7 linked regions of the Macaca mulatta genome follow. The protein of the gene in region 3 interacts with the protein of the main gene of each other region in a pairwise test. Links are inferred from orthologs where the notes say so. Each region holds a gene or a part of one and is shown on either strand. Other genes may lie near its edges.

What was found.
Region 1: the proteins of DDX6 (region 3) and MTUS2 interact in binary tests that used the Homo sapiens proteins (3 or more experiments, as listed by UniProt). The link is inferred for Macaca mulatta from reciprocal best matches to the Homo sapiens genes DDX6 and MTUS2.
Region 2: the proteins of DDX6 (region 3) and ZBTB8A interact in binary tests that used the Homo sapiens proteins (3 or more experiments, as listed by UniProt). The two-hybrid records come from large-scale screens. The link is inferred for Macaca mulatta from reciprocal best matches to the Homo sapiens genes DDX6 and ZBTB8A.
Region 4: the proteins of DDX6 (region 3) and TLE5 interact in binary tests that used the Homo sapiens proteins (3 or more experiments, as listed by UniProt). The two-hybrid records come from large-scale screens. The link is inferred for Macaca mulatta from reciprocal best matches to the Homo sapiens genes DDX6 and TLE5.
Region 5: the proteins of DDX6 (region 3) and VPS52 interact in binary tests that used the Homo sapiens proteins (3 or more experiments, as listed by UniProt). The two-hybrid records come from large-scale screens. The link is inferred for Macaca mulatta from reciprocal best matches to the Homo sapiens genes DDX6 and VPS52.
Region 6: the proteins of DDX6 (region 3) and SIPA1L2 interact in binary tests that used the Homo sapiens proteins (3 or more experiments, as listed by UniProt). The two-hybrid records come from large-scale screens. The link is inferred for Macaca mulatta from reciprocal best matches to the Homo sapiens genes DDX6 and SIPA1L2.
Region 7: the proteins of DDX6 (region 3) and CEP70 interact in a two-hybrid assay, tested with the Homo sapiens proteins (2 studies listed by BioGRID and IntAct). The two-hybrid records come from large-scale screens. The link is inferred for Macaca mulatta from reciprocal best matches to the Homo sapiens genes DDX6 and CEP70.

What each region holds. Positions count from the first base shown.
Region 1 is NC_133422.1:8,971,874-8,976,182, reverse strand, and holds the start of MTUS2 (microtubule-associated tumor suppressor candidate 2), read right to left. Parts: upstream 2,884-4,309; 5' UTR 2,682-2,883; coding exon 435-2,681; intron 1-434. UniProt on the Homo sapiens protein: Binds microtubules. Together with MAPRE1 may target the microtubule depolymerase KIF2C to the plus-end of microtubules. May regulate the dynamics of microtubules at their growing distal tip.
Region 2 is NC_133406.1:208,334,696-208,339,247, reverse strand, and holds the start of ZBTB8A (zinc finger and BTB domain-containing protein 8A), read left to right. Parts: upstream 1-1,628; 5' UTR 1,629-1,694; intron 1,695-1,911; exon of another isoform or gene 1,912-1,953; 5' UTR 1,954-2,054; intron 2,055-4,552. UniProt on the Homo sapiens protein: May be involved in transcriptional regulation.
Region 3 is NC_133419.1:119,435,270-119,439,079, forward strand, and holds part of DDX6 (putative ATP-dependent RNA helicase DDX6), read right to left. Parts: intron 2,602-3,810; coding exon 2,485-2,601; intron 1,329-2,484; coding exon 1,265-1,328; intron 1-1,264.
Region 4 is NC_133424.1:3,855,035-3,859,487, forward strand, and holds the start of TLE5 (TLE family member 5), read right to left. Parts: upstream 2,960-4,453; 5' UTR 2,763-2,959; coding exon 2,535-2,762; intron 2,349-2,534; exon of another isoform or gene 2,033-2,348; coding exon of another isoform or gene 2,006-2,032; intron 1,762-2,005; exon of another isoform or gene 1,455-1,761; intron 1,110-1,454; coding exon 1,012-1,109; intron 1-1,011. UniProt on the Homo sapiens protein: Transcriptional corepressor. Acts as a dominant repressor towards other family members. Inhibits NF-kappa-B-regulated gene expression. May be required for the initiation and maintenance of the differentiated state.
Region 5 is NC_133409.1:149,016,129-149,020,651, reverse strand, and holds the start of VPS52 (vacuolar protein sorting-associated protein 52 homolog), read right to left. Parts: upstream 2,931-4,523; 5' UTR 2,708-2,930; coding exon 2,618-2,707; exon of another isoform or gene 2,161-2,617; intron 1,629-2,160; coding exon 1,544-1,628; intron 1,397-1,543; coding exon 1,344-1,396; intron 1,165-1,343; coding exon 1,089-1,164; intron 908-1,088; exon of another isoform or gene 903-907; coding exon 835-902; intron 564-834; exon of another isoform or gene 532-563; coding exon 356-531; intron 1-355. Other genes in the region: RPS18 (small ribosomal subunit protein uS13), read left to right, coding at 3,150-3,152, 3,658-3,756. UniProt on the Homo sapiens protein: Acts as a component of the GARP complex that is involved in retrograde transport from early and late endosomes to the trans-Golgi network (TGN).
Region 6 is NC_133406.1:16,538,028-16,541,837, reverse strand, and holds part of SIPA1L2 (signal-induced proliferation-associated 1-like protein 2), read right to left. Parts: intron 3,289-3,810; 5' UTR 3,017-3,288; coding exon 1,534-3,016; intron 1-1,533.
Region 7 is NC_133407.1:41,509,746-41,513,555, forward strand, and holds part of CEP70 (centrosomal protein of 70 kDa), read right to left. Parts: intron 2,362-3,810; coding exon 2,256-2,361; intron 1-2,255.

The sequences.
Region 1 (4,309 bases), on a different chromosome or scaffold from region 3:
ACATGTACGAATAAGAGATACTCCCAGGTAGAAAATACTCCCCATTGAGGAATGAGTCTGATCTATTTGAAGAATACAGTAATTTGGCATTCTTTCTTCCTTTGACCTGGCTTATATTATATTCACTTATTTAAACATGGAAGCCTATTTAATGCATACTCATCTAATTTCATACGAATTATAGCAAGTGAAATTTCAATGGGTCTCCTGAGATACTGGGTGCATCTTATTAAGAGAATCAGACTCTTCTAATTAAAAATGGTCATTTCTCTAGACAATCTCCTCTAGTCAAAGACTCCATTTCTTCACCAGTGTATCCATGAAAATCTGCAATTCACTTAAAGAGGACATTTTACTTTCATAACTCATTGAAAATATGTCACAGATTTTGGGACAGTCAACTTACAGACCATATCATGATGACATTCTCTTACCTCCTGCAAAAACTTTTCACTCATTTGACCGAAAGGATGTCCTGGGGGCTTGATTCCAGACACCATCAATCCTGAACTGAAGACCCTTGGCTTCTGCAGGTCCGGCTTGAATTTCTCATAGAGGTTGGCAGACGGCTTCAGGTCACCACTCACAGCCTTCTCTTCATGGGGAAGAGGCATGGTACATGTGGGCGGGGCGTATGGAAGCCCCACTGGAAGCAGCGAGGCGTCCACCTGGCCCAGGGCCTGGGGACTCCTCCTGATGTAGGTGATGATCTTGGGCCTCACATGCTTGGGCTTGGGCATAATGACGGGCTTGGTTTCTGTCCTCTCCTCTGTTTTTTCAACCTGATGGTTCTCCGTTCCCTCCTGCGAGGAAGGTGTGTCCTTGGAATGTGTGAAGACAGGCTTGGGGATCCCACTGGGGCAGGCGTTCTTGTCAGGCACTTTGGGGGATGTGTTCGACAAGCGTGCACTATCAGCAGGGGGTGGTACCGCCAAGGGGGACACTGCATCCATACCGAACACGCTAACATCCTGAAAACGGCTACTGGGTGTTGTAGGCTGGTGGGTCATGTTCACAGTTGTCTCTGGGAGGAGGGGTGCTGGAATATTGAGAACTGAATCTACTCTTGCTGAGGTGCGTTCAATCTTATCTGCATTCTCTAGAAGGTTCCTGCTTTCAGCAACAGACGTGGTGATCTCTCTGCTTTCCCGTGCTTCTGAGCTGCCACTTTGAGGTTCCAGGGGCTCAGGCACCTCTGTCTGGCTCTCTCCAACGGAAGGATTGAACACCAGAACTGTAACACTGTCCTTGTCCACTGTGGGTTGCTCACTGCCCAACTGCCTTTCCTCCTCAATGACATCCAAGGGTTTGCTGTCAGTCAGATTAGTAGGAATAAAAGCCACATGACCATCACCTGGTGAAAAGCTGCCGGATGTCCTTTCACCCAACTTCCCACCTGCACATGGTGAAATGTTGCCAGTGGGCTGACTATCAGCCCCTCCTAAGGAAGCAGAGGCCTGTTTGGGGGTGGCGTGGAGAGAATCCGGCTTCCCTGGGTTGACTCCTCTCTTCTCTTCACTGTTGCCTCTTCCCACCCCAAGGTGGTGGAGGTCACTGTTTGGCAGAGAGCCAAGTGCATCGGTGGTTTCTGGGTGCGCCTCCCCACACAGATCCTTTCCCTCCAAGGCTGAAAGATTCTCTTCCCTGTGGCATCCCAGATACCCTTCCTGGGCTGCCTTTCCCTCCTGTTCAACCCTCCTGGGTGAAACATATTTCAGCTCCAGCTTGGCCTCTGCCTTTCCTTGACCTAACTGTGCTTCTGGCTTACTCGGGATTTCCCTCGATGTCAAAGTCAGATTCAGAGCAGGCTCTGGATGGGCGGAACGTGGTATGTGCTCACTGCACACCCGCAGTACATGTGCTCCCACTGTCTGGGTCTCTGAGGGGGTGCTCTGCTTGGTCTCTGAGGTAGATGGTTTAGGATGACGCACACTCTTTCCCTCTGAGGTACTGTCAGTTGGAGGGAACGCTGCCGGGAGAGCGCAGTCTGGCAATGTCTTCTGTGGCCCCTCCCCACCCCCAGGCACCTGACCCCGTGCTTCCTGGGAGTCAAGGGGTGCAGGCTGTGGATGCTGCGGAGTCAGGCTCCCGACTACAGCTACAGAGCTGCTTGCTCTTTCCAAAGAATGCCTCCTCAGTTCCTCATTGTTGAGGGTCTTTGCCAATTTATCCTTGGGAACGTGCCGGGGAATTTCAGCATCCCTTTTAGCCAAAACGTCTAGACTGGCCTCACCCATCACATTTCTCCAACTCGACAGACTCGGTCCCTGGATACTCCGCGGGGTCTGCGGGCTATCTGCGCCTCTCTCCATTGTGTGCTCCTCATTGAGTTCCCTCTGAATGGTTGAAGAAAGTCTAAAATCTTTCAGGCTGGTGGAGCCAGGCTGAGATCCCTTCTCAAAGCTCTGAAGTTGGTGAAATTCCTTATGGAAATGGGTACGGTTTTCTGGCTCACTTGAATTTGTATTTCCAATTTCATCTTCCAGGTCACATGTCTTGGACTCATCATGAGAGGAGCTGACCTCCAACGTGATTTGATTGGCATTTGTATCTCCCAGACTTAGGATGCTCTCATTATTATTTCTTGCTGCATTTCTGTTGTCCCGCAGCTGAGTGTAACATGATTTCTTAGGAGCCACTGGGACGCTCATTGTCAACCCTTTGGTGGGGCTGCTTGCCATGCAGTCCTACTTAATGGAAATGGGCTGCCTTCAAGCTGCAATCAGATTAATAGGAAATTCTCAGGCTGCTTGTCCTCCCCTGACAATGTCAGCTTGTGACACTGCTTTAATCATTCTCAGAAGAGCTTGAAAAGCAAGCATTCTCTTGATATACAGCAGGAACTAGGTTCCGGCTGAATGAGAGCCAATTAGTCCGTGAGACCTAGAGAGAAATAAAAATACATTCACATTAGATGGACAAATAGAACTTCTCAGGAGGAAAAAAGTGGTAAACACAGATTTATTCGTCATTTCTATACTATTATTTCATTCACTCGATAGTTTTCTCAAAAACCTTTCTGATCAGGGCTCCTGCTGACCAAATACGGACAGAAATTAAACATCAGAATGTTTAATGTTAGAAATGGATTATAAATGCATGTGAAATCTTAAATCCAAATTTTAAACATCCACAAGTCTATACTGATACTGATTTAAAAGGGTGAAGGAGAAGTAAAGGCTCTTCTTTACAGAAGAGCATCAACGAATGTAGAAAAAAATTTACAGAATTTGAAAAATCACTATTTTGCAATCTCTGCATTAATAATTATCTTGCACAAGGGATGCCAAAGGTACAAACATTGGGTAAAAGATTGTTGGGGAACAAGATATTTATAGATGCTTAAAGTATCTTTCCCCCAGCTACTTTATTTCTTACAAAAAGAAAATTTGATCTTTACAATGGAGAGATCTGGTAGACACCACATTAACCACGTGATCAAATTTAACATCACTGGTATCGAAACTGACATGACGGACTCCTGATATTAGTTAGTTCTCAGGGCCACACATCACCTATGCAGTAATGTTCAACCAGAATTTAACCATGAGAAAATAACCTGGCGAATTTAAATTGAGGTATGTATTACAAAATAACTGGCCTAACTGGTCCCAAAAAAAAAGTCAGCAGAGGCTGGATTTTCAAAATATGTTAGCAAAGGATATTATTAGGACAATGAGAGATGTAAATATGGACTGTATATAAGGTACAGGTATGTCATAATTAATTTCCTTGGGTGTATAATCGTGCTATAATTATGCCAGAGATCATCTTTGTTCTTGAAATATCCATGCTTTAGAATTCAGGGGTAGTATGTCATGATTTCTCTAACTTATTCTCAAATGATTCAACCAAGAAAAACATGTGTATGTATGTGTGTGTGCATATGAGAAGGAGACATATGTGTGCAAAAGAGAGAAAGAAACTGGCAAAAGTCAACCATTTGAATATCTAGTTAAGAATTTTACTACATCTGCAGCTTTTCTATAAGTTTGAAATTTTCCAAAATAAAAACTTGGGGGAAACGCTTCATTCCGGCCTTCGCGGCCTGCATGATCAGGCCCTGAACACCTTTCTGGCCTCATCCCCACCTCACCATCTGCTCTGCAGGCTGCTGCCACATTGGCCTCATTCCTCACAGTACCATGTTCATTACTCCCTGCCTCAGGGCCTTTCCACATACTTTTCCATCTGCATGGAATGTGGAACCATCCCCCAGCCTCATCTAACAAGTCCTTTGCATCCTTCAATATGCAACGTAACTACCACTTCCTCCAGGAAGCCTTCCTGACTGACTAGGTCGTCCTAT
Region 2 (4,552 bases), on a different chromosome or scaffold from region 3:
CAACCTGGGGAAACCGTCTCTATTAAAAATACAAAAATTAGCCGGGCGTGGTGGTGGACACCTGTAATTCCAGCTACTCAGGAGGCTGAGGCAGAGAATTGTTTGAACCTGGGAGGTGGAGGTTGCAGTGAGCCGAGATCCTGCCACTGTACTCCAGCCTGGGCAACAGAGGGAGACTCTGTCTCAAAAAAAAAAAAAAAAAAAAAAAAAAAAAAAATTGGAATGGATTATCTTCCTCAAGATTTGAACTGAAGAGGTGGAAACAGGGATGGGGGTGGGGTAGGGTGGCAGTCAGAGTTTAAGAGACTAGCACTGGTTAATGATGGAGCCCCAACATAGAGAAACAAGCTCCCAAAGCTAGCAGAATGAAGATGAGGGACAAAACTGTCATTACCTCTTCCTTGCAACAAAGTTTTTTGTTTGTTTGTTTGTTTGTTTGAGATGGAGTCTTGCTCTGTCACCCATGCTGGAGTGCGGTGGCACGATCTCGGCTCACTGCAACCTCCACCTCCTGGATTCAAGCCATTCTCCTGGTTCAGCTGCCCCAGTAGCTCGGATTACAGGCACGCACCACTATGCCCAGCTACTTTTTATATTTAGTAGAAGGGTTGCACCATGTTGGCCAGGCTGGTCTCGAACTCCTGACCTCGTGATCCGCCTGCCTTGGCCTACCAAAGTGCTGAGATTACAGGCAAGAGCCACCGCGCCCGGCCACAACTAAGAGTTTATCACCAACCTGATGTGCTCTCTTGAGGAATAAGTTTGTGGAACTCTTTTGCATTAATCTTTAATTAAGGCTAAAATCAAACCTTTGGCTATAACCATGTCCAGGTCTTTCTGGGGGAATTCTCAATGGGGGGCGCTAGCAGAGTAATCTGAGTACATCCAATATACCTGATACCTAATGGTTTTCAAATATGTTTCTACTTACCTGTTCAGAAGGCAAGGAAACACAACTAAATAGCAAAGCACCTCTGCAGTGACACAGAAGTGACATTAAGAGACAATTGTGAAGATCTTGCATCCTCAAAATGCATAATTATTCCTGAAATCAAAGTTACAGACTGTCCAATATGACTGATTATGAACAGGAGAGGAATCCATTAAAAGCTAAACCCAAGTTTTGATAATTTGAACCTTTTTCCTCCAGTTTTACTATAACACAGTACTTTTCAGTACCTGACCCCAGCATAAGGAACTAGGAAACTAATTTATAGAAGTAATGCATCTATAGTAACAGTGAAAATCCACTGATTTACTATTTTAGCAAATGTATAACCTGATATCTGTACTCTAAATATTAGAGATGTAAATTTGTCAGAGGAAGCTTGGTATACAATGAATGCTTGTATTGGAAAAGACGGAACTTGCTGTTTTTACTAATTTTGTATTTCTCTGGACTTAAACTAGGAATTATGTTCTCTTAGCTTCTCTGGGTTTTCCTCTTCAAATGAAATGCTTCTGACCTGTAGAGGTTTAGAAAAGGTTATCCTCAACTAAAACAACTGCTTCAATACAAGAGAAAACTCTGTGGAAATCTTTTGCATTTGACGTTGCTAAACTTAAGTACAATAATGTCACATGTACTTATACAGTAATTGTGGGCACGCCTAAGTCCCTCCCTCTTTCCTAAACCAAATTCCCCAGATCCTAGAAATCCAGCCCTTCTGCCCTCCGGAGGCGCCTTTCCCAACGTAAAGTACAATTTTAAATTTCAGCTCCTGACTAAAATCATGATCCGCAGTCAACTGCTAGAGAATCTGGGCACCCCGGTGCCTCTGGAGCGTGCAGCGGGTGTGGGCAAGGGCAGGGGGAGTGGGCGAAGCTGCTGGTTGGTGCCTGAAATCTGTGCGTTGCCCCTTTAATTGTGTCCCCAGCCCTCGGGCGTTTCTGTCCAACGCCCACGTCAGCAAATACCTTTTGTTTCTCTCACGTTGGGGCTACTTGTTTTAGGGCGCAAAGGAACGGCCTCGAAAGGGGGTCCTTCCCCAGCCGAGAACCAAGAATCTTCCCCCGGCCCGCGCGCGCGACCGGCCGGTGCGCCGCGGCCCGCGGTAAGTGGCGGCGCGCGGCGCCGGCGGAGGGCGGGCGGGCGTCGGGGCTGCCCGGGACCCGCCGCGAGCCTGGCCGCGGGCGGAGGCGCCGCGGGCTCTCACGGCCCGGGCGGCGGCGGTGCTGAGATGCGGGCCCTGGGCGCGCCTCACCAAGACGTCCCCGGGCCGGGAGCGCGGCGGGAGGCGCCGAGGCGAGCGGGCGCCATTTGCAGCCCGGGGCGCAGCGGCGGCGGCGGCGGCGGCGCCGGCTCCGAGGGGCTGTGGGCGGCCACGGAGGACGCGCGGGCGGCGGCGGCGGGCCGAGCCCGGGGCGGCGGCGGGCGTTGGTGGGCACCGGCTCCCGGCCGCCCCTCCCCGCGCCCGGCCGCGCCGCCCAGCCCGCCAGGCCGGCCCCTCCTGCGCGCCCGGGAGGGGCTGCGGGACAATGGCCGCGCCGTCGCCGCCCGCGCCCGCCTAGCCGCCCGGCCCGGCCCGGGGAAAGGCGGGAAGGCGCGCGGAGCCTCCTGGCGGCGGCGGCGGGAAGGCGGCGGGGACGGCGCCGGGCGTGTCTGGAGCCGTCGAGCGCCGCGGACTCCGGAGGGGCTCGGGCTGCGCGGCGCAAAAACGGGCGGCCGCCGGGGGGGCGCGCGAGGAGGGCAGGGCCGGGGCCGGAGCCGGAGCCTCTGCGGGCGCGGCCAGGGGCGCTGCCGGTGAGCCTGGCTCCCAGGGCAGTAGCCCGAATTTCTCGGTACAGCCTCCATCCTTGGTTTTATGTCAAGATGCGACATCTGGGCTTAGAAAACCGAGGGCTAACTCACCGCGCCTAACCAATGTTGAGCTCCAACTATTTGCTTCTGGACGGAACCGTACATGCTCATCTCTACCCATGCTGACCGCCTCTTTTGTGAGTTAGTCAGCGGCTTGTTCCCTTCCCCTTCAGATGCGCTTATTTATCGCTGATTGTTCCAATGGCCCTACTCCACATCATTCTGAGACGCGTTTGGAAGCGGTAGATTTACACACACACCTGGTGGGCTTCTAACCACACGTCAGTATCACTATGCTTGATAAACCTCTATATTTGCACAACTTTAAATGGAGTGCTTTCACCTATATGAATTATTTCACTTAATTTCACATAAAACAACCACTTAGGCTGACGGTAATTCCACTTTGCAAATGAGGGAACACGTGTGAAGCATGGCGTTTCACCTCTAGGCCAGGGTGACATAGCCACCCAGGACCTCCTGTTCCCGTCCTGCCTTCCCTCCTAAGGTACCTCCAGAGGAGTCTTTAGAAGGGCCAATCTTACACAGCGCTTCCCTGCACTGAAAACCTTAACTGATCTTTTTCAGGAACGCCTCCAAAATCCCCAGCAAGCTTCTGCTCCAGTCTTAATCTCCTCCATGCCTCAGGTATGGATGCATTTGTGGACTGGAGCAAGAGCCCCTCACTGATAAGCAGGGATCAGATGTCTTTATTCCTGGGAACCTCTCTGGCCACACAAGTGGCAACTGGGAAGTGAGAATCTGGCTTAGGGCCCTTGACCAAATGGGTGTCTGGGTGGATTGTGCTCAAAAATGTCAGCAGGAGGCATAATGAGTAGGGACTCCAGGAAGGAGGCCAAGCCACTAACCCTTATCTCCAAGCCCTGAAATCACCAGCTTTGCTGTTGATAATGATTTGAGGCCATGAAAAACTTTGTAAGATAGAGTAATATTGATTCATCCTGTATCATTTAAATCTAATTTTTAGATACAACTATGTCTAATAGATTTAACTCAGTGACACAATGATATGTTAATCATATTTAAAGGATTTGATGTGTTTGATTCCCTTGAATGAAGCTTTTGTTACTTTTGTGCTCAAAATTGGTCAGTGGTTCCCCATCTTACGCAGTTTAAAAGCCAAAAGCTCCATAATAGTCTATGCAGCCTTACAGCATCTGGTCTCACTATGTCCTACTTCTCTCATGATTTGCTTTCCCTTTCTGACTCCATATCCCATTGCTTCCCCGCTGCTCACCTCAGGGCCTTTGCGCTTGCTTTTCCCTTTGCCTGAAATACTGTTTCCCCAGACACCCACATGACTCTTACTTCCTTTGGACTTTACCCAAATACCATCTTCTCAATGAGGCTTTCCCCAACTATAGTTTTGATTCTCTTAAGTGTTTTTATTCTAAATCTTTTCTGTCTCATGCCATTTGTGCAGCTATAAAAATACTTTGGGACTGGGTAATTACACAGAACAGAAATTTATTTCTCACACTTCTGGAGGCTGGGAAGTCCAGGCAGTTTGGTGCCTAGTGAGGGCTGCTCTTTGCTTCCAAGATGGCACCGCGTTGCTGCATCCTCTGGATGGGAGGACTGCTGTGTCTTCACGTGGCAGAAGGGATAGAAGGGCAAGAGGGGCCAAACTCACTCCCTCAGGTCCTTTTATAAGGGCGTTAATTCCATCCATGAGGGCAGAGCCTTCGTGGCCCAATCACCTCCTAAAGGTGATACTGTTGCAATAGGGAT
Region 3 (3,810 bases):
GATTAGCCTGGCCAACATGGTGAAACACTCCTTCTACAAAAAATACAAAATATAGCTGGGCATGGTGGTGTGCGCCTGTAGTCTCAGCTCCTCGGGAGGCTGAGGCGCGAGAATCACTTGAACCTGGGAGGCGGAAGCTGCAGTGAGCCGAGATTGTGCCACTGCACTCCAGTTTGGGCAACAAGAGCGAAACTCCGTCTCAACAACAACAAGAGTAACAACAACAACAAAGTCCTCCATGCTATGCTTTGTCCTAATTTACTTCCCTAACACATCTCAGTTTTTCTTCTCTATCAAACTTATCTTCTTAGCCATCTGACCATCAGTCCCCTAAAACTTAATCCACGTGTTTGAAACTTACCTAGCCTAGAAAGCCAATTAAAATCTCATCTCTTCTCAAACCACCTCAGCCAATTATATTACTCTGCTACGAACACTTGGGATTACTTACTATACACATACTTCCCATTTGCAAGTCACCTTTACTGCCTTGTGGATCTAGTCCAGTGAATGATTTTGTAAACAGTTTTACTACAATATAGCCATGCCCATTTGTTTATGTATTGTCTAGGCTACTTCTGAGCTACAATAGCAAAACTCTGTAATAAAGACCAATTAATGTGCAAACTCTAAAAAATTTACTATTTGGCACTTCATAGGAAAAGTATGTGGGCGCTTCCTTAGACTCCTAATGTTTACCTTTTTATCTCTCCAATTAAACCACACTCCCCCAAAGGGGTGGTATTTTATATATGCCCTTCAGTATTGGTCCTTCAAGAACTTATCTGAAGAAACCTTGCAAGCAAGTAATGATTTTTAAAAGCCCAACTGTTGGACGCGGTGGCTCACACCTGTAATCCCAGCACTTTGGGAGGCCGAGGCAGGCGGATCACCTGAGGTCAGGAGTTCAAGACCAGCCTGGCCAACATGGTGAAACCCCCATCTCTACCAAAAATTAGCTGAGTGTGGCAGCGGGCGCCCACAATCCCAGCTACTTGGGAGGCTGAGGCAGGAGAATCACTTGAACCCAGGTGGTGGAAGTTTCAGTGAGCTGAGATTATGCCACTGCACTCCAGTCTGGGTGACACAAACTCCATCCACCCCCCCACCAAAAAAAAAAAAAAAAAAAAAAAAAAAGAAATCCTAGAAGTATTGGTAGGGTGTGCTGGACTATGTCACAGGGTGCACCGTGCAGTATGAACAAAGAAAGCAAAAAAGAACTTGGGAGAAAAACACTGGGTAAAGGAAATACAAAAATACTTACCAGTGCAAACAAGATTGCGGCATAAGCCATTTCGGAAATCATGAAATACACGATTTCGATGTTCCTAGGAGAAAGCAATTTATTCCATTTGATTAGCACTCATATACAGCCCCAAATTTCCCATGATTATTTCTCCTAGTCGATCGGTTCTACCCAAAACCTGTTTATAAGTGATCCATGACATTAAGCTGCTTTCAAAACCAAATATGAGTTAAGTTATTGATCTCTTCATCTACAGAAACTGTTTACTTACGAAATTTCATAATGTAGTTAACAAAAAGTCATTTTGTTAAGTTTTAAATTATTTTTTGCTAAATCAAATTCTGAAATTTAGACATTGCATCTTTCTCTAAAGGCAAACAGTAAAGAAAAAAGAAAAATCAGCCAGCTGAGGGGCCATATTTAAAAATCCAGAGCAATGCTGTCCAGTAGAAACTTCTGTAATAAAGGAAATGTTTGTGTCTGTACTTCCACTTCCAATACAGTATCCAGCAGCAACAGGTGCCTAACTGAGCACTTGAAACGTGGCTGTGATTGAGAAACTGACTTTTTATTTTAATTTTTTTTTTTTTTTTTTTTTTTTGAGACAGAGTCTCGCTCTGTCGCCCAGGCTGGAGTGCAGTGGCGCTATCTCGGCTCACTGCAAGCTCCGCCTCCCGGGTTTACGCCATTCTCCTGCCTCAGCCTCCCGAGTAGCTGGGACTACAGGCGCCCGCCACCTCGCCCGGCTAATTTTTTTGTATTTTTAGTAGAGACGGGGTTTCATTGTGTTAGCCAGGATGGTCTCGATCTTCTGACCTCGTGATCCGCCCGTCTCGGCCTCCCAAAGTGCTGGGATTACAGGCTTGAGCCACCACGCCCGGCCTTATTTTAATTTTAACTGATTTAAATGGCCACATGTGGCTAGTGGTTACTGGATTAAACAGAGAATTAAACATGGGAATGAAAGGAAGAATACAATTTTACATTTGTATTATACCTGACAGCTTACAAATTTAAACATTTACCTTAATTTTCCTAACTACCTTGTAAGTTATGAATATGTACTATTATCTCTATTTTATTGCTAGAAAATGAACCTTAGGTAGGTCAAAATGAAAGGTCCTTTGGCTACTAAGGAACAGTTTATTCTTAAACTCAGGACATTTAAAAGAACATTAAAACAAAATAAAATCAGAGATTTCTTGTTAAATTTGTGCAAGTTCTAGTTTTATACTCACCTGCCTCATTTTAGCATGAATATAGAAGCAAGAATAACCCAGTTGAGAAATCTTCTTGGCTAGTAATTCAACTCGCTGAGAGGAGTTACAGAAAATGATCGACTGGTTTATCTGAAGCTGAGCACAGAAAAAATAAGTATGAGAAAAATTAAAACCTTCATTTGGCTTGCCAAATCTTGAAAACACTAACCAGCAAACAAGAAACATTAACATGGTCTAAAATTTAGAATCTTATGATATGAGAGAGATGGTAAATTCTAAGTACTTTAATAGATGGAATATAATAATATCTAAGATTTATTGTATTAGAGTATATTTCTTAAGGGCCACATAACTGTCAACAAGAGTAATACAATTGATTATCTGATTCCAAGTAGTTATGTTTTATGTTTTTCCATTTAAGAATACGTGTGTGTGTGTGTGTGTGTGTGTGTGTGTGTGTGTGTGTGTGAGAGAGAGAGAGAGAGAGAGAGAGAGAGAGAAATGGAGTTTCACTCTTGTTGCCCAGGCTGGAGTGCAATGGTACAATCTTAGCTCACTGCAACCTCCACCTCCTGGGTTCAAGGGATTCTCCAGCCTCAGCCTCCTGAGGAGCTGGGATTACAGGCACCCACCACCATGCCTGGCTAATTTTTGTATTTTCAGTAGAGACGGGGTTTCAGCATGTTGGTCAGGCTGGTCTCGAACTCCTGACCTCAGGTGTCTGCCCACCTCGGCTTTCCAAAGTGCTGGGATTACAGGTGTGAGCCACCGTGCCCAGCCAAGAACATCTTTAATATACTCACAACCAATGCCACTAGCACTGGGCAGCACTTCAGCACCATGAGTAGGGGTCAATTAAAACCGTGAAATCAGGCCGGGCGCGGTGGCTCAAGCCTGTAATCCCAGCACTTTGGGAGGCCGAGACGGGTGGATCACGAGGTCAGGAGATCGAGACCATCCTGGATAACACGGTGAAACCCCGTCTCTACTAAGAAATACAAAAAACTAGCCGGGCGAGGTGGCGGGCGCCTGTAGTCCCAGCTACTCGGGAGGCTGAGGCCGGAGAATGGCGTGAACCCGGGAGGCGGAGCTTGCAGTGAGCTGAGATCCGGCCACTGCACTCCAGCCTGGGCTACAGAGCGAGACTCCGTCTCAAAAAAAAAAAAAAAAAAAAAAAAAAAAAAAAAAAACCGTGAAATCAGCAACAAAAATTTGAAAAATATGGCACAGTGAAAAGGATACTTGTTCACAGTATGAGAGCTAAACAAGAGGACAGAGCATTGTCTTCTTCAACCTCAGCTGGGTATGTGCGTGTCAGGTGACTTAAACTCTTTGCCACACTGT
Region 4 (4,453 bases), on a different chromosome or scaffold from region 3:
CTGACTTCCTCCAGATTCCCAGGCCCGGCGTGCCCCTCCAGAGTAGGGCAGGTGAAAATCTGTATCCTTAAACCTTAAACCAGGAGAGAGACCTGGTGCAAACCTCAGCCTTGCCACTTCCTCAACGCTACGGACATCCCCGAGGAAATAACCTCTCTGGGCTTAAGTTTCTTCTTCTTTATTTTTTTTTGTTTTTTTTCGGACACCGAGTCTCTCTCTGTTACCCAGGCTGGAGTGTGGTGGTTCGATCTCTGCTCACTGCAACCTCCGCCTCCCGGGTTCAAGCAAGTTTCCTGCCTCAGCCACCCAAGTAGCTGGGATTACAGGCGTCTGCCACCACACCCGGCTAATTTTGTATTTTTAGTAGAGACGGGGTTTCGCCATGTTGGCCAGGCTGGTCTCGAACTCCTGACCTCAAGTGATCCACCCGCCTCAGCCTCCCAAAGTGCTGGGGTTACAGGCGTGAGCCACCGGTGGCACCCGGCCTGGGATTAAATTTCTTTAAGTGTAAAAGGACTAAATAGTTCCTTCCCCTTAGATACCACAGCATGGCAAGCTCTTCAGAAACGCCAGGAGATTTCTGAAAGAAGCACCTGGGAGAATCTGACTGATGCTGGGAACCCTTTCTCCAAAACTGGGCAAAGAGAGATGACCAGGCTGCAAAATGTTTGTTTTGGGGGTTGGGGGGACGGCGAGTCTGTGCCCTAACTCCAATTGTCTTTTATCCAAGGGGGGACTTGGGGGGATTGGGTAGGAGGGAGGGGCTCTGAAGCCACACAGCTGGGTCTTTGGGCAAATTATTTAACTTATTTTGTGCCTCAGTTTTGTCCTCCACAGAATGCAGCTGTTTAAAAAAAATGAATTCCCTATTTGTCAAGTATTAGGTCAGAGTCTAGCATACATTATTTTCCCAATCTCCCCTCCAGGCCTCAGCCTTGCCATCTGCGCAGAAAAAATGGGGTGGGGGGCTCACCTTCTCGGGACGCAGGGACCCTCGGCCCCCCAGCTCACCTGTGATACTGAGCTTGCAGTAGCTGAAATTCGTCTTTGATGCGGTCGCAGGAGTCCGAGGTGGTGAATTTGAGTTGCTGGGGTAGGTGCGAAGAGCCCTGTGGGGAAGGGGCGGCCCGGGTCAGGCCCTGGCTTGGGCTGGACCCCCCTCGAGGGCCAGCCGGGAGGGAGCGGCCGCGCAGCTGCGGCGCCCCCCCTCCTGCCCCACTTCCTGGGCCCGTGTTTACGGCCCCTGGCGCGGCCCCCACCCGCGCTTCCTGCCCCCCGCCTCTCCCGGGGGAAGCCGAGGGGGTGGGTGCGCCCGGAGCCGCCCCGACCCCCGCCACCTCCAAGCAGTGGGGGTGCGTTTTAAGGCCTGCCCTAGATGGGGGGCAGGGTGCGCCCTCTACCGCCCCTCCAAAGCGCCGGGAGGGAGTGCACATCCGAGGGGGGTGGATACGCACCCTAGGGAGCCCCCTCCCCAAGTTGGGGGGCAGCGAGTCCTCCCAGCAAAGCCCTCTTGGGGGAGGGGTCTCTCGGCGCCCGAAATCTTCCCGGGGGGCCCACCCCAGATTCCCAGCGCCCTTCCTCGGGGACGCGCTCTTCCGGGAGGGGTGCGCCTCGGATCGCCCCCCCACCACAGGCCCCCAAAGGATCCCCGCGCTAGAGGTGCCTGGCGGGGCTCCCGGAGCGCCCCAGGCCCGAGGCCAAGGCCGTCCGAGGCCCTGCCTGTCCCGGCGAGGGGGGGGGCGCCAAGCCGGGAGCTGGGACGGGGGGGCTCGGGGCCCGGAAGCTGGGGTGGATCGGGAACTGGGGGGTGTCCGGGGGCCGGCGGCAGGAGGGGGGTCGCGCCGGGCTTGGAGCTGGAGAGGGAAGACAGGGCCGGGGAGTTGGGGGGGGTGCCGGGCCGGAGGCACCGGGCCTGGGGGTGGGGGGCGCGGGGCCGGGAGCCGGGGGTGGGGAGCGCAGGGCCGGGATCCGGGGTGGGGGCGCCTGCCGGACGGACCCCGCTTACCGAATGCCTGCTTTGTGGAAACATCATGTCAGTCGCGGCAGGGGGCGCGGGCTGCGCCCCGGCTGTGCGCCCCGGCTCGGGCTGCTGGGGGCGCCGGGCGGCCGCGCCTTTGTCCCGGCGCCGATCGGCAGCTCCCGGGGCCGCCGCCGCCTCCCGCGCCCGGCCTCGCCCGCTTCCTGCGCCCCCTCCCCGCGCGCCCGGCCCCGGCGCGCCCCGGGCCCCGCTTCCTGCGCGCCCGGCGCCCCTCCCCGCCCCTCCCCGCCGCCCGCCTCCCCGCTCCCCGGCCCCACCGCTATTGTCTAATGGCGGCGACGCCGGCAGTGGCCGCGGCTCGGCTGATGCTGAGGCTCCGGCTCCACCTGCCGCCGCCGCCCGTGCCCCGTGCGCGCCGCCGAGGGGGGGGAGGCGCGCGCCCGGGGAGGCCTGCGGATCCCCACCCCGGCCCGCCTCCCCAGGGCCCGCCCGCCGCGGTGACCTTGGGCCCGGCCCGCCCCCGCCCCGGGCCGCGGCCCCCGCCACCCCCCCCAACCCGGCAGCAGGCCGGGCCTCGGTTTCCCCATCTGTCAAAGAAAAGGGACCCGGCTGCCCGCGTCGAAGCCGCCAGCCCTGCCGTGGCACGACCTGGACGCGTGCCACGGACGTGCTCTGTGACCTTGGCTCTGGCTGGGCGGTGGTTCTCGCTGAGCCTCAGTTTCCTTTTCTGCAGAAAGGCAGCGGTAATGCCGCCTTTCTCAGGGAAGCCATTCTTGCGACACATTTATAGAACGCCTACTGTGTGCCAGGGCCTGCTGCTCCAGGGCCCTGTGGTGGGGGCGGGGGTGGGGGGTCCCTGCTCTGGTGGTGGTGCCTGGAGACAGACAGAGACAAATTAACAAGCTGAATTCCCAGCAGGTCAGATGGTGGGGACCGTTCTGCAGAAAAACCAGCCGGGAGGATGGCAGGGTAGGAAGATGCAAAGTTAAACAGGTGGCAGGGAGGATCAGAGAGAGCTTCCTCCGCCCCTAAAACGACCCAAAGAAGGAGAGAGAACAGGGGGATGGGGTACAGAGGTACTCAGAGGCAGGACCAGCAGGTGTAAAGGCCCTGGGGCAGGACTGTGCCTGGCATCAGGGTGCCAGGGCGGAGGTCAGGAAGGCCGGAGGGAGGCAGGGCCTGGGGCTTCATGCATTTGCCCGGGCCCCCCCCCCTCCTCAGCAGGGCTTGTGCTTGGGTTAATATTTAGTGTTGCATTTTGAGATTCCTAATCATTTTTGAACAAGGGGCCTTTCAGTTTTCTTTTGCACTGGGCCCTGCTAACTCTGTAGCTGGTGAAGCAGGCCAGTCCAGCAAGGACTTGTGGGCCATGGGGAGGACTTGGGTTTTTGGGTGAGTGAAGTGGGAGCCCTGGAAGGCTGTGGGAGGAGGAGGGATGGGACCTGGTGGTTTGTTTTTTGTTTGCTTTTGAGACGGAGTTTCACTCTTGTTGCCCAGGCTGGAATGCAATGGCACGATCCCAGCTCGCTACATCCTCTGCCTCCCGTGTTCAAGTGATTCTCCTGCCTCAGCCTCCCGAGTAGCTGGGATTACAGGCACGTGCTACCACGCCCGGCTAATTTTGTATTTTTAGTAGAGACGAGAGTTCTCCATGTCGGTCAGGCTGGTCTTGAACTCCCGACCTCAGGTGATCCACCTGCCTCGGCCTCCCAAAGTGCTGGGATTACAGGCGTGAGCCACCTTGCCCAGCTGTTTGTTTTTGAGATGGAGTCTCACTCTGTTGCCCAGGCTGGAATGCAGTGACGTGATCTTGCCTCACTGCAACCTCCGCCTCCCGGGTTCAAGCGATTCTCCTGCCTCAACCTCTCGTGTAGCTGGGATTACAGGTGCGTACCACCATGCCTGGCTAATTTTTGTATGTTTAGTAGAGATGGGTTTCACTATATTGGCCAGGCTGATCTTGAAATCCTGACGTTGGGTGATCCTCCCGCCTCTACCTCCCAGAGTGCAGGGATTACAGGTGTGAGCCACCGCACCTGGCTTTAGACTTGTGCTTTTGCTCTGAGTGAGGTGGGAATCCTGGAGAGCCGTGGGAAGAGGAGGAATGGGACCTGGTGGCGGTTATGAAAGTATCCCTCTTTCTGCCATTCAGAGAACAGGCCCCAAAGAGGCCATTGAAATAAGGCTGTTCCGCCGGGCGCGGTGGCTCACGCCTGTAATCCCAGCACTTTGGGAGGCCGAGGCGGGCGGATCACAAGGTCAGGAGATCGAGACCACGGTGAAACCCCGTCTCTACTAAAAATACAAAAAATTAGCCAGGCGCGGTTGTGGGCGCCTGTAGTCCCAGCTACTCAGGAGGCTGAGGCAGGAGAATGGCGTGAACCCGGGAGGCGGAGCTTGCAATGAGCCGAGATCGCGCCACTGCACTCCAGCCTGGGCGACAGAGCGAGACTCCGTCTCAAAAAAAAAAAAAAA
Region 5 (4,523 bases), on a different chromosome or scaffold from region 3:
TACAGGCGCCTGCCACCTCGCCCGGCTAAGTTTTTTTTTTGTATTTTTAGTAGAGACAGGGTTTCACCGTGTTAGCCAGGATGGTCTCGATCTCCTGACCTCGTGATCCACCCGTCTCGGCCTCCCAAAGTGCTGGGATTACAGGCTTGAGCCACTGCGCCCAGCCGATCTTACATCATTCTTAATCTTAATCTTTGATGCCTAATGCATGCCTAAAAAAATGGTGGTTAACCTGGCTACTAATTTCTAAAAAGCACTTAATCTGGAGCCAGTAGACCCATATGGTAAATAAGGTAGGTCACCCCAGCCCATTCACCTGCCACGGACATCATGACCCTTCAAACCGGTAACTCACGTGACCAGAGCAGAAGGCACGACCAGACCATCAACAAGCTCCCCAAGTTTCCCCCGAACTGCCTGGCGATTTCGAAGTCGAATGTTCATGGCTCCTGACTGTTCCTGCAGTGTCCGGATCTCAGAGCTGATGGAGCTGAGGTCACTCTGAAAAGCTCCCAACATCTGCTCCATTCGCTGTAGGGAAGGTAGAAGATGTTGCTGGAGTGCTATAGGGTTTGTAGGGGATAAGTGGGCCACCAAAGCCTCTCTGTGAAGTCCTCAGTATTCATCAGTCCATGAGGGTGGCAGAGGATGAGATACCCCAGATTACCAGGAAATAACATTAAATATGGCAGCAATAACAAAAAAGGCTCCTGAAGTCATCTTGAAAATGACCCTAACTTGTCCCCATCTTAAGGCTGATGACCTAAAAATGGCACCAGAGTCCATGATCTGGTTCAGAGCAGCTATTAGGGGTCACAGTTCAGGATTACTAACCTCCAGGACAGCATCACAGGCTGTGATCTGGTTGTGCAGAGATGCTATATTCTCACTCTCTTGAATATCTGACCCACAAAAAGTCAAGGGGCCTCATGGTGAAAATGGGAGAGCCTCAGATTTGTAGTACCTCTCCAATTGCTCTCTGAAGTGACAGAAACCTCACAGATGTTGACCCCAGCTGAGACATCTGTACCACACACCACAAAATCCCCATATCAATAGCACCGCCCCTTCCCTCTGCTGGAGGATACAATCCCGAATGGATTTCTGTTCAATCTGCTGTAGCTCCAGTTCAACTTGTTTTGAATAGTGACGAAGATCTACACCCTGGGAGGACATAAAGATGACAGGTCAGAAAAAAGTCTCAGTAAAGGGACACTGTAACAGAATCAGTGAAGGACTAAAGGATCAGATACCAGGCTGATATAACAAAAGCAAAAAACTGTTGTTTTTCCTTTTGGGGGACAGTAGATAGAAGGGCAGATTAGTATAGGGGAAATCCTCACCGTTTTAAGAGCTTCCTTTACTAACTCATCCTCCAGATTTGCCTGAATGTGAACTGGAAATAGAAGTTTATCGTAAGGGTTCAGCTCCACAGCTCCCTCTCCCCACATTGAGTATCTGCACACCAATCCCTACCTTATTCCTTCCAGCTCCCATGCCTCTCAGATTACAGGTACTGCACCCACTCCACGCCATCACTTACCATCCACTTCATCCAGGATGAACTCATCAGAAGTGATATCCAACTCCCCAAGTTGCAGTGATTCCTGGAGCCCAGCACCACCCGCCTGAAAAGGAATAAGTTAATGGGAGTAGGATACAGTGAAAGACAGAAAGAAAAAATGTAATTGGATATCCCCAGTCCTTCAAGTGAGAAGGAGGTGCTTTTGCTGGAAGCCACAGGTACCGCTTTGAAAAACTGTAAGTCTCACATTGTACCCACTCTCCTATTTTGTGTTGATAGGTAAGGAATACGACAAGGAGTGAGACGATCCAATGAGACAGTGGAGGTAGCCCAGCATGGTGGCGGGCTCCTTGTAGTCCCAACTACTTAGAAGCTGAGACTGGAAGACTGTCTGAGGAGATCAGGAGTTCAAGGTCAACCTGGGTAACACAGGGAGAACCGTCTCAAGAAAAAAAAAAAAAAAGTAAAAGACAAGACAGTGGAGATGACCTAATGAGGAAAGCTAGGAATTGCAGAGGATGGAGCTGAACTTGCACTTAAATTTAGGACCCTCAGGCTCCTGCCATCTTGGATGTTCTATCACACCTCTGGGGAACCCCAGGCTTTCTATAAATGTCAAAATACATAGTGTTTACCTGCGTGCGAGATGCAATCTTAAACATACTCATTCATCTAATCCTAACAACGATGTATACAGTAGGTTCTATCTTCCTCATCTTATAGGTCTGAGAAATGATGGCACAGAAAAGCGGGTTAACTTGCCCAAGGGAACACAGCGTGTAAGTGGCAGAGATGGAATTAGAACCCAGGCAGTCTGGCTCCAGAGTCCATGTTCTTAACCTTTACACTATATTACTTCTTGACTCTACCCCAAAATGTGGAGCGAAGTTGAAATTGTGCCCCAGAATATGAGTTTCAGCCACGAGGGTCCCGCTCAGGGTCGGGTCTGATCACAGGGAAGGGTACGGGGAGTCAAACAGGTAATATCACAGGTAGCAGCCAAGTTCCCACCCTTGTGCCTAAACCCAGCTCAGGTCTTTCTGAAGCTAGGAGCACCGGGACTACGGAGGAGAAACAGTTCCGCGCTCTCACCAGCGGGCCCTCTTCCTCCTCCATGTCTGACGTCCCTGCCCGCAACACCAGTTCCCGGGCGGCAGCCGCCATGGTCGCAGCGGCGGCCATTCCCCGCAGCCTCACTTCCGGCAACTGTCAGGCCGGCGAGTCTGTTCCCCGGAGTGGAGCTACAAGTCCCAAAGGGTCTTCCTCAGCGCGAAATCGTTCCCAGATATTTGAGTTAAATTGTTTGACTCCAGCTGTTCCCTTTCAGTTCTAACCACTTCACCCAACTCTAAACGGAAATGTGGAAGTCTGAAGCACAAACTAGCCCGGAACCTTCGCTTCTCTTAAACCTATGAACTTTACGAACTGTAAAGAAAGGCGCACCGGAAGTTGTGGTACCCGAGCCATACTCTCTTAAGTCCAGCTAGGTCAGGCTGAAACAGTTTCCGGAAGCACTTCTCCTAGATCGCTCCGCCTCTTCCTCCTGAACGCTATATAATGATACCGCGTCACTTCCGCTCTCTCTTCCACAGGAGGCCTACACGCCGCCGCTTGTGCTGCCGCCATGGTAAGCCTGGAATCCGTGCCGTGATCCAGCGACATCGCAACTCGGGCAAGGAAAGCCGGCTGTTGGGGTTCTGGAAACGCCCTGTCCTGAGGGCCTGAGACTTTCCGTATGAAGCCTTGGATCGCGCCCCTGGAAAGGGACACCAAAGATTTCCAGTTCCGGAGAGCGGGCCCGAGGAAGGGTCACTGCTCTGGCGCACGGAAGCTGCCTAAGGCTTGGGCGTATATGGGGAACTCTGGCTTCCGCCACGCACTTTTGGGAATGGGCAGGAGACCTGCCTCCTCTCTCCAAAGGTTGCATTTTCCCAAGCTTGAACGCTTCATGTACCTACTCTGCAGGACTGAGGAGTTTGCTGTGTGGTGTGAAAACCTTAGGGGTGGGGATCGGGTGCCTTTGCCACTTGTGTGACAGGCTTAACCGTTTTGTATGAAGTTCGTTTGCCTTTTCAACCTTACTGTTTGATAGTTTACTGTGTCTAATTTCTCCCCCGTACTTTTTAAACCAGTCTCTAGTGATCCCTGAAAAGTTCCAGCATATTTTGCGAGTACTCAACACCAATATCGATGGGCGGCGGAAAATAGCCTTTGCCATCACTGCCATTAAGGTAAGTAAAGTAGGGTAAGGAATAGGGAATGTAAATGAGAATTGGGTTGTGAAGACATGAGCAAAAATGAAGCAAGGTTGGGGAGACTTGAGTCTCATCCAGAGCACCTTGACTGCTGGATTAAGAAAAGAAAGTGGTTTAGGGAGAGACTAACCCCTTTAGCACTTACCACATTTACCACAGAAAATAAGTGATTAAAGCCAAGAGAGTGGTCTAAGGTCAAGCCAAAACATTTCACCCGGGGGAGTGGGAAGGAGGTATGGTTGCTCACCCGAATTCGCTAAGATTTTCCTGAACCGTGAGATCCTTCTAGATTCGGTTTCTTTACCCACCCTGCCATTATAACAGCAACCCTTCCTGTGAAATTTATATTCCCTCAGAATTGGAGGATTATTGGGCATCTTGAGGGATGAGTAAAAATGCCAACAGATAAAAAGTGTGAAGAAACTTGTAGATGGAGGGTGGAAGAAGTATGAGCAGGACATTTACTCATATGTCAGAGTTGACACTCCTGTTAAAGTGTGAAGGAGTACATCTCTCTCTTCGGCTTTTAAGAATCGAATCAGTGAATGCAAGAATAATTATTTCACTTGGGTATTTCTCTCCACAAACCTAATAAACTCCTGGCTTTCTAGATACACACGTTCTTTTTTTTTTTTTTTCTTAAGTCAGAATTTGTAGTTAGTTGTGGAAATAGCCTACCAGTATGTGTCCACTTCATGGGTGCAGGGCTAGGCCTGTCTTACAGTTCTTGGCTTCTGTTGCAT
Region 6 (3,810 bases), on a different chromosome or scaffold from region 3:
TATCTCTCCATCTCCCTTTCCGAAAATAACTTGCACCTAGAGAGTATCCTTGAGCAATGTGATATAATGTGATACCTCTGCATGAACACAGGCATGAAGGTTATGAGTTATTTTCACAGCAGAGACAAAAAAAAGCAGATCCAAGATTCTTTGATTCCACTGGCTGGAAGGAAGTAACTCATGATGTTAACACCAAGGCACACCTGAAGCCAAGACCGAAATTCAGGGTGGAGGAGAGGAAAGGAGACAACAACAGGGACCAAGATCTGTTGACAAAATTATTTCAGTCCTATTATGTCATCAGTATGAGGACAGAGAGACAATTCACAGTAAGTGGCCAGATGCAGTGTAAATATCTGTTTATTTAGCTTTATTGCATCAGATCGTTTCTCTGAGTTACATGTTGTCATAACGTGATTATGAAAGACATGCTAAGTCTGGATTGATGCAAAGTAAAAAAGTAAATAAATAAATAAAAGTACACTTAGCTCCCAGTTATCTGCACTAGAAGCAGAATAGTTTATGCACGAGAAACAGGAGGAGGAGAGCAGCGGGGCCCACCCTGTGCCTCCTCAGGTGCTCCGTGAGCTTATCCCTGGATCCCTGGGAGCAGGAAGAGGGCTGACAGGTGAAACTGAAGACAGAAAAATATAGCTCCGAAAAGTAAGCTGCATTGTAACGAAGGGGTGAAGGACACCAGCTGCACCCAATAAAAAGGTGGTGCGAGGTGCCGCAGTGTTTCCTCGGCATGTGTTACTGACACGTGTGGAACCTGTTTCTCTGTAGGTCTCTAAATCAGAGAAGATTCTCCTAGCCCTGGGATAATTCGGGACACTTATTTAAAGGTTGAGGATTCAACCATATGACCTCTGAAGAACGCATCCTTCAAGCCTGAAGATATACGTAAAGCAAAAACCATTTCTTTGACATAGAATTAAATAATTTATCATTTGTGTCTTAACATTTAAGCCTATCTACAGAACTACACGAAAACAAAATTTGTCTGTTGTGGTAATTCACGCATTCTTTCAACAAAGATTTAACATGTCCAACACATACAGCAATGCTGGAGGAGCAAAGTACAGAAAGGTTAGAGAGGTGAGGGAATCACAGAATGATCCACTGTACGCAGCATAAGAGATTATTCAGAGGAATAGGAGGAAGACAGAATTAATCAGGGAAGACTTCTTACAAGGGGTGAAATCTAAATCAAGTGAAATCCAAATCTAAAATCAACTTGAATTTGTGATGCTCACAAACTGGCAGACAAAGAATGACAGAAAGAGAAATCAAACCAAAAGGGCATTTACACATGAAGGACTACCCATCAACAAAGGCATGGAATTGCAGTTTTCTAAAGAAAAAATTAGCCTGGAAGCTATGGAGGGACCATGATGGAGAACAAGGTCCGGCCCAGTGGACTATGGCCTTGGACACTCTGAGGAAGGTGCTCCAACACAAAGCAAAACATTGTGACTGGTCCTAAAAAAATTACTCCCGAGACGCACACAAACGCCCAGGGCTCTTCCTTACCTTTCCCATAGAAGAATTTGCGGTAGTAATAGGCCCCAAGGTCAATGTGTTCTATGATGTAGCGCTTCACTTTCTCCCTGTGAATGGGCTGGTTTTCTCTGGGCACTTCCAAGACCGAGACACCTGCATTTGTGCAGTGAGAGCTGAGAGACGATTCAAAAGAGCAGCTTTCCCCAGAACTGAAAGAGGACGAGTTGGCCCGAGAGAGCGCAATCCGCCTGTCGCCTTCCCCTCCAGTCTCATTTCTAAAGTAAGGACAACTAAGGACAAGGTCGTTACTTTTCCCGTCACCCTCGTCGGCATCCAGGTTCTCTTTGGAGTTGAGGTCCTCCTTGCTCCCTAAAGGGGACTCACAGTTGCCTGTCTGGCCTGTGGGCATCTGAGTCTGGGATGCTGCAGAAGCCCCGGTGGTTATGTTTTTCCTTTTCCCCACATTAGCCCTCGTAGCCATGGCTTCATTGATATTAAACAAAATGCTCTGGACATCATAATGTGCAAAACAGCGCTGGCAATTCCAAGGGCGAATGCCCCTCTCCAGTCGGCTCTCCTCCAGCTCAGATGTGAACTTGAAAGTTTCGTGCTCACTTTTAACAGTTCGAAGCTTTCGAAAGAGGGATGTTTCCACCGACTCTGATTTCAACCTCCGTTTGAAAGGCTTGTCCCTGTCTCTCCCCATCAGGAGGGCACTGTCCATGTAGTCTAATCCTGAGATGCGGACAAATTCTCCCCTAGAAATCTGTGCTGCTGCATGAAGGCTCGGAGACACTGCAGGGTCACAGCGGAAAAATTCAGGGAACCCAAAAGGGACCATTGCTTTGTGGTCATAATTTTCTACTCGGTACCCTCTGAGCATAGCAAAAAAGTTTTCACCAGATAAGCCTTGCCTGTCGATAGATGAAGTACTTCCATACTCCCTGTGCAGGGCAGCCCCTGTGTTGGGGTTGACTGCATTTTGGTCTAAGACATCTTCGGCGTCGATGTCACTGATAGTGACATCACTATTGCTCCTCTGTCTTATGGGGTGAAGTCCTCTTTGGGGGGAATGGACAAAGATGTCCCCGATTGTGTACTTGGCCTCCACGAAGTCCAGATCGAGCTGCTCATCTTGCTGACCTTCGCTCTGGTCACTCTGCCCATTCTGCATGACGGAGGTGACACTTTCATAACTGGTCTGAGACCGGCTTTCCCACAGTGCCTTGCAGGTTAGCTCCTTGGAACAGTCCTTTTTAGGAGGCCATTCAGACACCCTTGCTCTCACACCCATCTTGGGCACAGCTGGGGTACCATTAGCCGGACCACCACCGCCAGTCTCACTGGAATTCGAGGCATTTAAAGAAGTAGTGGGTCCCATGTTGCCATTAATGGCTTTAAATTTCCGAGCAAAATAATCATCTGACTGCATGATTCTAGGGGGATCCTTGAACTTTGAAGAGGCTCTGCCGAGCTTGTGCTTCTCTTCTTGTGACTGCCTTGGGTCACTCATGTCTACTGAGGAAGAGCCTCCAAGACTCACCAGGAAGACCGATGTAAATCTAATTACATTGCTATTGACCACGCCATAATACTTGCAGATATAAAGCCTTTGTCTGTAGTTGTATTTTTTCTTTTTTTTTTAGCCCAAAGCAAACAACATCTTCAGAATACAGTTTCTCCAAAGCCAATTTGCTTCTCTGTTGTCGTAATAATGTTGTACACCTCTGTTCTTTTCAAAAGCATTCCTTAAGACATCTGGCTGGTCATGAGTATTTCCTTCACCTGAATTAAAAGACAGGAAGTAGCCATTAGCAATTAATATACTTCAAGTTGAACACATTCTACAATAGATTTCGTATCTGTCTTTCTCCTCTGCTTCTGCCCACGAAGTTTCATGATCCACAGCACTGTTCGTAACACTCCTCCCTGGACACCATCTTCCTTCTCTACACAGCTAGATAAAATTCACATCATACAATCAGGTATTAACTTATCTGAGAAACTTTCCTAGGATGTCTCCCACACTAATTGCATCTAAGCAAAGAATGTTGTGATAACACAGCACTCCATCTATATCCAACAGAGTAATTTTCCTTATCTCTAATTGCTGTTTACCAACTTACTGACTTCAAGTTCCTCTAAGCAAAGAACCATGCCTTTCAGTTGTGTACCAGCATTAACTATTAAGGTAGCCTGGCTTAAACTAGGGATTCATGAAGTATTTCAATGAATGAATTGGCTATAAGAGTAGCACAAGTCATGTATATAATGGGTTTCAGTATTATTAGTTTACTTTCCTTCAAA
Region 7 (3,810 bases), on a different chromosome or scaffold from region 3:
AAATTAACAGTAATCCCCAGGCTTAGTATGGTGGCTCATGCCTGTAATCCCAGGTTGAGGCAGGAAGATCACTTGAGCCCAGGAATTCAGGGCTGCAGTGAGCTATGATAATGCATTCCAGCCTGGGCAACAGAGCAAGACCCTGTCTCCAAAAATAATATCATTGATGCCTGGATTGAATTTTAAATATCTTAATATATTAAGATAGTATACTATTTGACTATAACCCTCTCCCCATAAGTGATGAGTTCTACCTTAGATATCATCCAAGGATAAAAAGGGAGACCCCCAAAAAGCATGTTTAAAGAGAGAAGAATAAAGCCATTTCCTATTACCACCATCAAGTTCAGCCTATTTAATAAAAAGTTTCACAATATAAAGATAGCATTTTGCTCCTGAATCTTCGTCCCTGGTCATACTTCAAGATATAACTAATAGGCCTCCTGGTAATATGACTTAATATGTTTATTATATTACTTCAGATGTTTATTTAGAAGCTTTTTAAGTCCAAATTAGTGTAATTCAATATTTCACTTCAGATTGATGTATGTATATATGTTTTATTTATTTATTTGACAGAGTCTCACTCTGTGGCCTAAGATGGAGTGCAGTGGTGCGAACAGAGCTCACTGCAGCGTTGAATTCCTGGGCTCAAGTGATCCTCCCATGTCAGCCTCTCAAGTGCTAGGACTACAGGTGCACGCCACCATGCCCAACTAATTAATTTTTTTTTCTAGAGATGTGGTCTCACTATATTGCCCAGGCTGATCTCAGACTCCTGGCCTCTAGCAATCCTCCTGCCTCGGTCACCCAAAGTGTTAAGATTACAGGTGTGAGCCACCATACCCGGCCTGAATTCCCCCTTTAAAGGACAAAGTCTCTCAAATTGAGTCTCAGAAACAAAATGAAATCCAGTTACATACTGGTACAAGAAAGTCTAAAACAAAACAGTTTTCAGAAAGGTGCTTGGTTCCCATTTACAATAGCAATAAAAGTTATAAAATACCTAGGAAATAGCAAGGTATTTCCTAACAAGAAATATGCAAGAGCTAAATTTAAAAATATACAACACTTTATTGAAGACTATAAAAGATGACCCTGATGAAAGTACATATTTCTCTGAATGTGATGATTCAAAAAGGTTAAGGTGTCATTTCTCCAAATATTAATCCATAAAGTCAATTCAGTTTTAGTTCATCTCAATGGGATTTAGTTTTTAATTTGAAAACTGTTCATCCAGAAGAATAAATGTGCTAAAAATATAGCCAATAAAAATTTTTTTTAAATGACAGGATACTTGCCTCAAGGGCTATTAAAACTTATAACTATAGAAATTAATATATGGAAACAGTTGAGAAATGCAACAGACTAGAGAATCTAAAAACAAATCTGTGCATATAAAGGAATATGATCTATGATAAAATGTTATTTCAATAAAGTAGACAAAAAAGTAGCGTATTAGAGACTGCAAACACAGACACCCAGAGAATCCAGGTACGAGTATAAATGAGTGAAGTAAGGATGAATAGCAACTGGCTAACTATAGAACACATGCTCATATCTGACAAGGGAAAGGCCTAATTCTGCTGTGATAATAACCATGCAGGAATTTGTTGCCAGATCTTCTGACTTTTTAAGAGAAATTAGAAATAGCAGCCTAGAAAAAATAAAATATCTTAATTTTTTAAAAAGTGAATAATCTAAAATTTAAAAATCTTATGTGTACCCAATAAAATATGAGTGAAAGTCCAGTTCAGTCACTAAACTACCAGGTTTAACTGCTCAGCTATTCAATAAATGATCTGTAAAACTAGGAAGGTGAGATTCCCTATATCACACCATATAGAAAATTAATTTCAGATGAACTAAGGTCTCTACACAAAAACAAAGCCATACAAGGACCCTAAGAAAACAGATTTACTTATATAATAATAATAGCAACAAAAGAAACAAGAAGAGGGAAAATGGCTTACAGGGGGAAGGAAGGAAAAGGATTATAAAATCTTTTAAAAATCTTAAAGCTCTTTACTAACCTGCTTTGAACTAGGCCCAGAGTCTCCTTTAAGTAGTAAGATGAAGTCTACAATGTTTTTAGTCAAACAGTTAGTTATATCACAGAAAGACAAAACAGAATAAGTACACATAAATATGAGGTGCAAGTATTCCTTACCAACTGATAATTTATTACACTGCAACTGATAACCAAGATTTATGACGAACATCAGTCTTTTTGTCATGAAAAATCAATTCAATACCTGAAAGTATCTCTGGTCAATTAGGGCCTGTTGCTGATTATATTTGCTGGGCTCATCTTTTTTCTCTGTGTCCTCAGCCTTCTTAGGACTAATAAGCTCCTGTAATCTAAAAGGGAGAAAAAAATCAAGATAATGCAAAATTATTTCCTAGACACTGGACCAAGATGATAAACTAAGTAAATGATCCAGTCACCCTCCCAACAGCCTTATATCAGTTCACTTATATGTATGGGTGCACACATATATGTATGTATATTTATAAACATATATATATATGCCTATATAGAGTTAAAAAAAATTTTTTTTTGCGACGGAGTCTCTCTCTGTCACCCAGGCTGGAGTGCAGTGGTGCGATCTTGGCTCACTGCAATCTCCGCCTCCCGGGTTTACACCATTCTTCTGCCTCAGCCTCCCGAGTAGCTGGGACTACAGGAGCCCGCCACCATGCCCAGCTAATTTTTTGTGTTTTTAGTAGAGACGGGGTTTCCCCATGTTAACCAGGATGGTCTCGATCTCCCGACCTCGTGATCTGCCCGTCTCCGCCTCCCAAAGTGTTGGGATTACAGGCGTGAGCCACTGAGCCCGACCAGAGTTTAAAAAATTTTAAATCATATTGTCACTGGAAAACAAGAAGGCCCTCTCAATAAATAGCAAATCTGAAGGAATCTCTGAAGACAGAAGAGATCAGATGGAAGAAGAAAGTTCTAACCAGCCCCCAACACCCACAAAAGACAGCACAAGAGAGAAATACAACAAAGGATGGAAGCGACTTCCATCCAAGGTGCTCCAAGCTTACAGACTATAGATAAAGGGAGCAGGAAGCGTGGGAAGGGCCACTGGTTTGGGTACTGTAGCAGGAACAGCTAGACGTTTGGTCCCTCTCTCTTTGTATTCTACTAACAGCAAAGAACAGACAACGGCGATGCCTGGGCCAGTCAAGAGGGCATGGAGATCCAAGAGACCATTATTCCAGGTGGCTGCTAGAATGCTGGGGGAAAGGAGAGTCTCTTTACCCAGAAATACAACTATGTATAAGTGTATCCACCTAGTAGCAAACACTTGTCCTTCTCCAAATATCTAGAAGACAGCTTGTAATAATCTTTCTCCTCCCTCCTCATGCCTTTGAAAACAGTACCGTAGTACATGCTGATCCGTAGTTTCACTTTCCATGGTTTTAGTTACGCAAGGTAAACCAGGGTCCAAAAATACTAAATGGGAAATTCCAGAAATAAGTTTTAAAATTTATTATTATTTTTTAATGCGCACTACTCTGAGTAGTGTGATGAAATCTCATACTGTCCCACTCCATCCTACCTAGGATGTGATTCATCCCTTTGTCCAACTTATCCATGCTGTAACTGTATACACTACCTACCAATTAGTCACTTAGTAGCCATCTTGGTTATCAGATCAACTGTTGGGTATCACAGTGCTTATGTTCAAGTAACAACCCTTATTTAACTTAATAATGGCCCCAAAATGCAACAGCAGCAATGCTGGCAATTTGGATATGCCAAAGAGAAACCATAAAGCGCATCCTTTAAGTGAAAAGGTG